Linked DNA regions of Arabidopsis thaliana. The protein of the gene in region 1 interacts with the protein of each later gene in a biochemical or structural test. Each region holds a gene or a part of one and is shown on either strand. Other genes may lie near its edges. The genes, in order: CAO and AT1G48900.

Region 1 (4,450 bases):
ATTTAATTGGTTAAAAGGTCTCATATATAAACCTAGTTACGTTTCATACAAAATCTGAAATATGTAGTGTTGTTAACTGTGACGTGATGTCTTCTGTGGTCTGATAGTATAATATAAAACCCAGTGAAAACTAATATATTTGGCATCAATTTATATTAATCGACTGGAGGACTTGGCTAATGTGGTCGCGGTTAATCGACCTAGTTCCTTGTTTTCTCTAATCTATAATCTACATAATTGTTGTTTGGTTGGTTGTCCAACAGTAATTTGGTTGTTATACTAAATATATTTGGTTGATTTACGTACGCATGTTGTTTACAAAAAGAAACTTTTCTCATCCGTTCATGTCACTATAACTAGAAGTAACACACATGACTAGAGGCCCCTCTCGAATTAAGAGGAAAATTACAAACGAAAAATAGGCGATCGTTGTATTCACAAAGAAACGAAAATGTGTACTAAATCAACTCCGTCCTTTTTGTCTCCTTATGTCCATCATCAACGTAACATCACATGCACTGAAAATCTAGATGCTCATAATAATAAAAGTCTAGCCATTAACTGACAAACCAAAATTTCTCTCATATAGACACAATGCATCGAATATCGTCAAAAAAAAAAAAAAAAAAAAATGATGTTGAATTAGAGAAGAATGGATACTACTTATTCATATTTTCTAGTCATTTATTCAGACTTTGTATCTTTCTATAATTTCCTTAATCGCAAAGTGCAGTTGTACATTATCACTCTTCAGAAGTTGTTTTTATCACCAACAAATGTTACAAGAAACGGACCCATAAATAAAAGTTGTGTATTGGGTTTACATGTACTCTCTTCCTATATGAAATATATAGGCCCAATTAAATGTAAATGGGTTTTGAGATAAAGAAAAGCCTAAGACGATGTATTCTCTAAACCTGGGACGATAAAGAGCAAGTCAGCCAGCATCATGAATCTCCCCAAAAAGGGAAGCAAAATTCAAAGCATGGATATAAAATCAAATAGTGTCCCCAAAAGGCCAAAAACCATCAAGATCACATCTTAAAAGAAAATGAAAATGTACCGGTACGTACCAACCGAACCGGTCAGATGAACCAACACATATGAGAAAGAAGCAAATTGAGAAGAATGTAATCATCAAAATCAATCATTCATTCATTGGTTGTTGTTGTTGGTAGAGTAGAACAAGAGTAGAGTCGACATTGTCCTGAGGCTCCCAAGTGGCATCAGACATATCAGTCCATTTGACAAGATACTCGATGGTCTTCCCATCGTCTCCCACCCTCTTCCCGATCACACTCTCCGCTACAGCGTACTCCAGCCCATCCTCGTAGTCCTTAGCCACATCTTCCGCCACGTGTACACCTTTCACCCACTCGCAATCTCCACCGTCCTTCCATCTGACCAGATATTCAACGTCTTTGCCTTTCCCTCGTTTCTCTACGATCTCATCCACCTCGGCGTACTCGAACACTTGTCCTTCCAGGACATTGATCACTTTCTCTAACCCAATTCTCCTCCCGAACTGCATCGGATTCCCCTTCGGCGTCGTCTTCAGAATCTCCCTCGCTAGTTCCAACGCCGTTAACCCTCTCTCGTCTTCCACTTCAATATCAGCTCCCAGCTCCACCAGCGCCTCCACCACCTCCGGCCTCACGTAACCAGCCGCCATGTGCAGCGCCGTCAAGCCTCCCCTCATGTCTCGGTGGTCGAGATCGGCTCCAGCCTCCGCCAGAAGCCTTACGCACTTGTCCGACCCCAGACCTGCCACGAAAAGCAGAGCCGTCCGGCCGTTTTCGTCCACGGCATCGACGTCTCGGTCCTCCAGGAGCTGTGACAGGGCCTGCTCGTCGGCTTTTCTAGCTGCCGTCCACCAGGGTGTCTCGTACTCCGACACTACGTCTGCTGCGATGTAGCTCGATGGAACCCACGACGGAGAATGGCCGTCCTTCCACTCGATAAGGTACTCCATGGCTCCTTCCCCCGCCGTTCGGCTTCCAATGATCTTGTTCACTTCTCCGTACGATGATGATGACTCATCATCTTCCTCTGCCTCTTCCACGGAGGAGGTCGTTTCTTCGTAGTTTCTTTGTACGGCGGCACATATAGCTCCTCGGAAACACAGCTCGATCCGTCTGATCGGTAAGGATTCAGGGGAGAAAGCAGAAGAAGAAGAAGAAGAAGATTTGGGAGGAGAAAGTTTGATGCGAGACAGAGACTGATGGATTACTAGAGCACAAGTATCCATGGCCAAGAAGACCTTTTGCATAATAGAAGACAAGACTAGAGAAGAGAAGAGAGTTAACGGGACTCACTGGATTTTCTAGTGGATAAGAAATCTTAGCCACCCAATCATTTTCGAAAATTTTAGATGTCTGCAGCAAATTTTAGTTTTTTAAAAAAGAATCTAGTTTTAACATTTTTATAGGATTTTATTTTATGGACTGCACTTATTTTCTTCTACTTTTAGAAAATCAACAGGTTCTTCTATTTTTTGGAAAAAATCTTTATATACTAGATAATTGTGTTAAGACATTCTCATCAAAAAGAAAAGAAAAATATAAAACAATAAAATAAATATGAGTAAAATTGTAAATGTGGTTGGTTTTCTCATTCATATGATATTTTCTTGTGGATTTAAATTGGTATGTATACATTATGATATATGAGTTTGTCAATATATTATTTGTGTTTGATTTTACGACTTGTGTATATATACTTACTCCATCTTTAAACATCTTTAAATGGCAAGCAGACCATTTTTTTTTTTTTTTTTTTTTGAATTTGCACTTCAGTGATTTACATGATATGAGTATTAACATTATTATACAGCAAGTGAATAGTTTTTATTTAGTTTTCACCATCTATATTTTATTTGCCTAATTAAATTAATCATCCCAATACCATCAAATGGCAGCCAAACTTTATAGATAAGGACTCATCCGAATATTACTGACGTGAGCCAGACTCATCGACTATTTCTAGGCAAATCTCGAGAACTCAATAATAAAAAATAAATTAGTGCTCAATAGCTTAAGAGATAATTTTGATAATAAAATGAAAAAAAAAGTTTTGATACTAGTATTTTAATTTACGTGCAAATCAAGCTTCTGTCGTTTTATATGCACATGAAGATGAAGAAGAAACAAAGGAGACGAACATTGAAGATAAAAGTAAAGTGACAAAATTTTCTTGTAGTTGGAATAATCTTCCAAACCTAAATACATTGTTTCATTTGTATTCATACATCAAATGTATATATATTTTCTTATTTTATTTTCTTTTTTGACGGCTGAATGATTTGTTTTTCTGTCCGAAGACGAATCTACGGAAACGACGACGTTTCCAGTGGCTGACATGGTAGGATAAAAAATTCGGTTCAATATTTTTTAGCAGGTGAGCGCTTCGTATTTAACCGGGATTGGATGGTTGAAACCAGCCCTGGTTAGTAGATTCCCAACCGCAGCGAGATCTCTACAGAATACTCCTTGGTACGCATTGGAATTTACCGGTTTCGTTTCAGCGTTTCCGGTTCTCTTAATAGAACCGGATTTTTCAACCGGTTTGCGTTCTTCAATCTTTTGAGCGTGAGCAATGGCGTTCTTCCTCTGCTCCTCGGCTATGATCGCTGTCACGGCGGTGTATCCTTTCTGAATCAAACGGTAAAGCAACAGAGACGACATTTTGGCTCGATCTCTAACCGAATCGACGTCGTTTTGATCGGTGAACTCGCACCGTTCGATGAAAGAAGAGGCTCTATCGGGTTTGTATCTGAGACATAGCAATAGATGAGCTCGATCGAGCTCCGATCTGGTGCATCCGCGTCTGACTCCGATCAAGCCGTAATAATCGACATTCCCAGTTTCTCCGTTTGCGATTTTCTGCTTAAGTTTCTGCGTTTTCGTTGTCAAAACGCACAATTTCCCAGGAATCTCTCTGTATTTCACGTTGTGCCGCTTCCACACCGGACCCGGAAGCTTCCGATCGCGTAAAATGGTGTTGTAGAGAAGCTTCAAGTGTTCTAGATCGTGAAGCGAATCTGGAAAACACCTGACCGTTTCTAGAAGCGCGGCTCTGGTTTCTAACGCCTGGATACACGAGGGTTCAAGAGCTAGGGTTTTATTGCAATCGGCGATCGCTTCCGCGATTCTACCGGCGGATCTATAAGCGGCGGCTCGATGCATGTAGCATTCGGCGAGGAATCCTTGAGGCGCAGGGCGACGGCCATCGACGATCTTGGAGAAGTGACGGATCGACTCGGAGAACAGTCCAGCGTCGAGAGCGGCGATTGCAGCGGCGCGACGACGGAGAAGAAGCTTGATGTGAGCGAGGAGATGGGTGAAGTTCTCGCTCTCGGGTGGTGGAGAAGAAGCAGAGGAGGATTCGGAGAGGAGAAGGAAGCTATCGTCGGACCAGCAAATACTCCGGCGACGGAACTCGGCGGAGGCGA
Region 2 (5,717 bases), on another chromosome or scaffold:
CTAAATATCCAAATGCAGTTTTACGGAAAGTTACTAATTATCGTAGATTTAACGATTTTAGTTTTCGCATAAATCTTTTTGTTGCATGACCAAAAAGTTAGAAAGATATTATCGATGAACGCATTAATATAAAAACAACAATTAAAACACATGAAATAATGATAATATAAAAGCATTTTCTAATCAATGACATTATACCATCTCTATGGTTACACAAAATAAAACAAAACTATTATTTTCAAAAATAGATCACTTTATAATACACGATTTGTATATTTTTAAATGGAAAATAAAGAAAACTCTAAACTCTCTCAAATATTTTGTTTTTTTTGGTCAATGTCAAGACATCGCTCCTTCGTGGTCGTGAGGAGCCTTATGACAAGAAAATTCAAGGGAAGCCTCCCTTTCCGCTAGTGGATCTCTCAGACATATCTTTCTTATTCTACTATTTATTTTTAGGGTAATTATTCTCTATTGATCTAGTTTTGGAAGCCAACAAAAACACAACTCTGTTTAGGTAAGTGAAAGCTCTACCTTTGTCATAATCCCTCAAAATATTGTCGAGGACCTCAAGAAAAACTTCACATAGGATTATTACTCGAAACAAGTCTACAAAATGTGGGATTTTGGGAAGCGAAACTTCAAAATCAGTATTCATGCGTCAGTATAGAACAACTATGAAATTCAAATTAAATTTTTTATCCAATCACTTGTAACTGTCTTTAGCGACATGCCCTAGAGAACCAATATACATATGGACTATATGGTAGTCAAAATAATAAGAAAAGTTTATTTCACATAGATCCTGTAAATTCTAAGCTACTAATAACATTTGAAAAGAAGAGATACACATTGATTGAAGTAAAAATTCTGAATCAAGCAAGCACAACTCAGTGGCGGATCTAGAGAAACATTTAGTATAGGGCACTATTCATTTACTTATACATATATATTTATCAAAATTATTATTATGTATATATATATTTATATTAGGGTTAATTTGCAAAGTAGTCACTTTTTTAAACTTAATTGGAAAATTAGTCACTTTACTATTCATAATTTGCAAAATAGTCACTTTTCACTGTTTGATTCGTACACTTAGATTGTACACCACTTTTAGTGTACAAATATATATAAAAATACACAGCGTACACTTTACATTTGTACACTAAAAGTGATGTATAATCCAAGTGTACGAATCAAACAGTGAAAAGTAACTATTTTGCAAATTATGAATAGTAAAGTGACTACTTTCCTAATTAAGTTTAAAAAGTGACTATTTTGCCAACACATCCTTTATATTAATTGTTATTAAAAAATAAATTTGTGATAAAATATGTAGTGTTTTAACCCAAAAAATGTTTAGTTCATCAATACCTATAATTTATATCTCACCTGTAGGTGTCCAAATATATTTATGAAGGTGTATATATATAATTTTGGTATTCATTTTCATATATATCAAACTTATTAAAAATATATAAGCAGACGTATTTTAAGTAATTATTAAAGTAATTTAAACAAAATTTAAAAATGAATGTTCAAAATTTAAATGAAGAAAAAATTACATTACTGATTGTGGTGGAAGAAAAAGAAGGTAATTAGAAGGAGAATATGCCTTTGACAAGTCTCGAACCTAGGAAAGGAAGAAGTAATAGTAGAAACAAAAAAACATTTGTGCTAAATCATTGTTATTTGATGTTTTTACAAACAAACATCTATAAAGTAAACCTCCCTCCAACCTAGATCCGCCCTGAGCACAAGAAAAACCCTAGTACATGTATACCCTCTATAAGGATTCAAGATTACTAAGAACGAGTCTATTTATCCGCTATATAGGATTCATCAAATAAATGTTAGTTATTATTAGTAATGGAATTTTGGATATATACGAAATGGACTATTCCTCTACAATTTGTTCGTTTTGAAATCGGAAGTATACGCATTGGGCCTGTTGTGAACTTCGTAAGGCCCATTAATTTAGATTTGCTTCTTTTCCTAACCGGTACCGGTTTATGGAAATAGGAAGAATTAGCAATTAAGATCCTCGGATCAAGTTCTCAATTTCTCTCCGTTATCTCAATCGCGACCAAAGATCTCTTCGATCAAAACCCTAGCTCTAAATTCCCCCAAATCTGATTCTTCTCCTCCGATAAGCTTTTGTTGAATTCACAAAGCAGCGTAAATGGTGTTGGCGGAGCTAGGCGGGCGGATTACCCGCGCGATACAGCAGATGAGCAATGTGACAATTATCGATGAGAAGGCTTTGAATGAATGCTTGAACGAGATCACTCGTGCTTTGCTTCAATCCGATGTTTCATTTCCCCTTGTGAAAGAGATGCAGAGTAATATTAAGAAAATCGTCAATCTTGAAGATCTAGCAGCTGGTCACAACAAGCGCCGGATCATTGAACAGGTTTCAATTTTTTCCACAAAGTCTGTTTCTTTGATCGATTTTTGTAATTCGATGTAATTGGGTTTGTTTATCTCAGGCTATCTTTAGTGAACTCTGTAAGATGTTGGATCCAGGGAAGCCTGCGTTTGCTCCTAAAAAAGCTAAAGCTAGTGTAGTTATGTTTGTTGGATTACAAGGTGAGCTCTTTGTATGATGCTATTTATGTTATTGGTTCAAATTGGGTTTGTTTTTGAATGTAATCTCAACTTTTTTGTGTGATTATGTTTATAGGTGCTGGAAAGACGACAACTTGTACTAAGTATGCTTATTATCATCAGAAGAAAGGATACAAACCAGCTTTGGTTTGTGCGGATACTTTCAGGGCTGGTGCGTTCGATCAGCTGAAACAGAATGCTACCAAGGCTAAGATCCCCTTTTATGGAAGGTACTCATCAACCTCTTTGTGGTGTTCCTTTTTTATGAAGATTTATCTTACTATCAGTTTTCTTCTTCGGTGCTCTTTAGAACTTTGGTGGTATTTCCAGAGGATTTTTGTTAGCTTACTTATAGGAGTGTATGTAAAAAAATGATTTGAATTTTCTTTGGAACGGTAGAGGCAAGTTATGAAATAGGTTTAGTTTAGACTCGAGGTTTGGTTTAGGTCAGTATCTTCATATATCTGGACTGAAAAGGACTTCTGTTACTTATATGTTTCTTTGTCCTATCATCCAGTAGGTTTCGTCAGATTTCTCTAGTTCTCTGCGTGCCACTTACCTTTAGGGGTTCTTTTAAGCCCTTTTCCCTCTTTTTTCTTGCGCTTTTATCGGAACTCATTTCACTGTGCCACTCTAATTTTTTTTTACATCTTTGTCGAATAGTTCAACAGTATGCATAAATGAATCTTTTGAGGTCTTGTGGTCTCTTCTTTTTCTATTTGCAATTAGTGCTACTGTGCTATTTGTAGAGTTGGATTTACTTCAATGACAGTAACACAAAGAAATGAAAAAAGAAGAAGACATTCTGGATTAAAACCATGCTCTAGGGCGTACTGTGGTAGCAGATTGTGCTAATACTGAGTTGTGATTCTTGCAGCTACACGGAATCCGATCCTGTGAAAATTGCTGTTGAGGGAGTAGATACGTTTAAGAAAGAAAACTGTGATCTCATTATTGTTGATACCAGTGGTCGCCATAAACAAGAAGCTTCTCTCTTTGAAGAAATGCGTCAAGTTGCTGAAGCAACGGTATGCTCTGTTGCCTTGAAGTCTTCTGTTTGTTCCTGGTTGATGTTGCAGACTCTGATCATGGTCTTTTCACTTTACAGAAACCAGATCTTGTTATATTTGTTATGGATAGCAGTATTGGTCAAGCTGCATTTGATCAAGCTCAAGCCTTTAAGCAGAGTGTTGCTGTTGGAGCTGTAATTATTACTAAGATGGACGGCCATGCCAAGGGTGGTGGGGCTCTTAGCGCGTAAGTATCTTGTAGCTACTGAATCGTCCTATGTACTTGAAATGGTCAATATGAAATTCTTGTAGGTTTTCTCCAGTTGGAAAAGTGAATTTGATCCTTTTTCATTTTGTTAGTGTTGCAGCTACGAAAAGTCCTGTGATATTTATCGGAACAGGAGAGCATATGGATGAGTTTGAAGTGTTTGACGTCAAACCATTTGTCAGCCGTCTCTTAGGTAATTATCATGGCATTGATTTAGCATTTGTGAGTATTCAAAGGCTTTTCATGGGTTGTTGAGTCAGAATCTTGATAATTTTATCTATAATAGGAATGGGTGATTGGTCTGGATTCGTGGATAAGCTACAAGAGGTAGTACCTAAAGATCAACAGCCTGAACTTCTGGAAAAGCTCTCTCAGGGTAACTTTACGTTGAGAATTATGTACGACCAGTTCCAGAACATACTGAACATGGGTCCACTTAAGGAGGTCAGTATCTTTATTTCAAATATTATTAGGCTTGAACAGCTCAAGGGACTGATGATAAAACGTGTGAGATGGTTGTGTGGGGGTGTAGGTTTTCTCAATGCTGCCTGGAATTAGTGCTGAAATGATGCCGAAAGGACATGAGAAAGAAAGCCAGGCGAAGATAAAGCGGTACATGACAATGATGGATTCTATGACAAATGATGGTAAGAACAATAATAATATATCTTATTTGGAGAAAGTGTATCAGTAGAAATAATCAGAGTTCTGAGCAAAAATGTGATGGGTGGTTTGTGCAGAACTGGACAGCTCAAACCCAAAGGTGTTTAACGAGTCACGGATGATGCGGATAGCAAGAGGGTCAGGGAGGCAAGTAAGAGAAGTGATGGAGATGTTGGAAGAGTACAAGAGGCTAGCGAAGATATGGAGCAAGATGAAAGGACTCAAGATCCCAAAGAATGGAGATATGAGTGCACTCTCGAGAAACATGAACGCACAGCACATGAGCAAGGTCCTCCCACCTCAGATGCTCAAGCAGATTGGCGGCATGGGCGGTCTGCAGAGTCTAATGAAGCAGATGGGTTCCGGCAAGGACATGATGGGAATGTTCGGTGGCGGAGACAAGTAGTATCTTTCTTCCTTCCTTTGCACACCAAAAACTAGACATTCTTACGTTGTCATTATTAGAGTTTTCCCCTTTGTATTTGTAAAATATTTGCAAATTTTCTCCAATTTTACAAAAAGAGATTTGGTAACAAAATAATGTCTAGGGTCCAGTCGTGGACATTATATATTGAAAACCAAAAAAAATTTATATCAAAAGAGTTTGGGTGAACAAAACTGTATCATCTTTTGAACAGATTGACTCTCTTTGAATCGAAATTACATAGAACAAACAAACAATAGAAGAATAAATTAAGAGTCATATTTGTAATAGTATTTTGATCAATATTTGCTTGAGCATTCATATTAGTGTTTAGTTTAGTTCACTCTTATGAGATTTTTTTTTTTTTTTTTTGAATTTTTACTTTTATATTTTACTTAGATTTTCCAATTGATTCTTATGCCTTTTAAAAAAAATAAAAAAAAAATAGAAAGCTAAATAATATATAAAAAGGAAAAAGGGTAATTTAAATAAAAAGAAAATATTTAACTAGGAAAATATACTCAATGCTTCCCCTTCATATTGGATGGAGTATGTAAGTTTTGAATGCCTAACTTGAGAAAAAAATGCATCAAATTTCTTTCTTCCTAATGTAAGTTTTTACATTGTAAATAAATATCTTGTCTAAATTATGTTTACAATTTCATATTTTATTCTTCTAATAAATACTTCTATAGAATTTTTATGTATAATGTTTAATGTTATAAATGTTTAAACCGCCTAA

Evidence for each region.
Region 2: the proteins of CAO (region 1) and AT1G48900 form a complex in vitro, tested with the Arabidopsis thaliana proteins (one study listed by BioGRID).

Annotation. Positions count from the first base shown.
Region 1 is NC_003071.7:19,470,600-19,475,049, reverse strand, and holds CAO (chloroplast signal recognition particle component (CAO)), read right to left. Parts: upstream 2,478-4,450; 5' UTR 2,270-2,477; coding exon 1,148-2,269; 3' UTR 663-1,147; downstream 1-662. Other genes in the region: AT2G47440 (Tetratricopeptide repeat (TPR)-like superfamily protein), read right to left, coding at 3,390-4,450.
Region 2 is NC_003070.9:18,084,212-18,089,928, reverse strand, and holds AT1G48900 (Signal recognition particle, SRP54 subunit protein), read left to right. Parts: upstream 1-1,994; 5' UTR 1,995-2,185; coding exon 2,186-2,416; intron 2,417-2,492; coding exon 2,493-2,592; intron 2,593-2,686; coding exon 2,687-2,840; intron 2,841-3,487; coding exon 3,488-3,638; intron 3,639-3,718; coding exon 3,719-3,867; intron 3,868-3,980; coding exon 3,981-4,081; intron 4,082-4,174; coding exon 4,175-4,332; intron 4,333-4,420; coding exon 4,421-4,535; intron 4,536-4,628; coding exon 4,629-4,957; 3' UTR 4,958-5,214; downstream 5,215-5,717.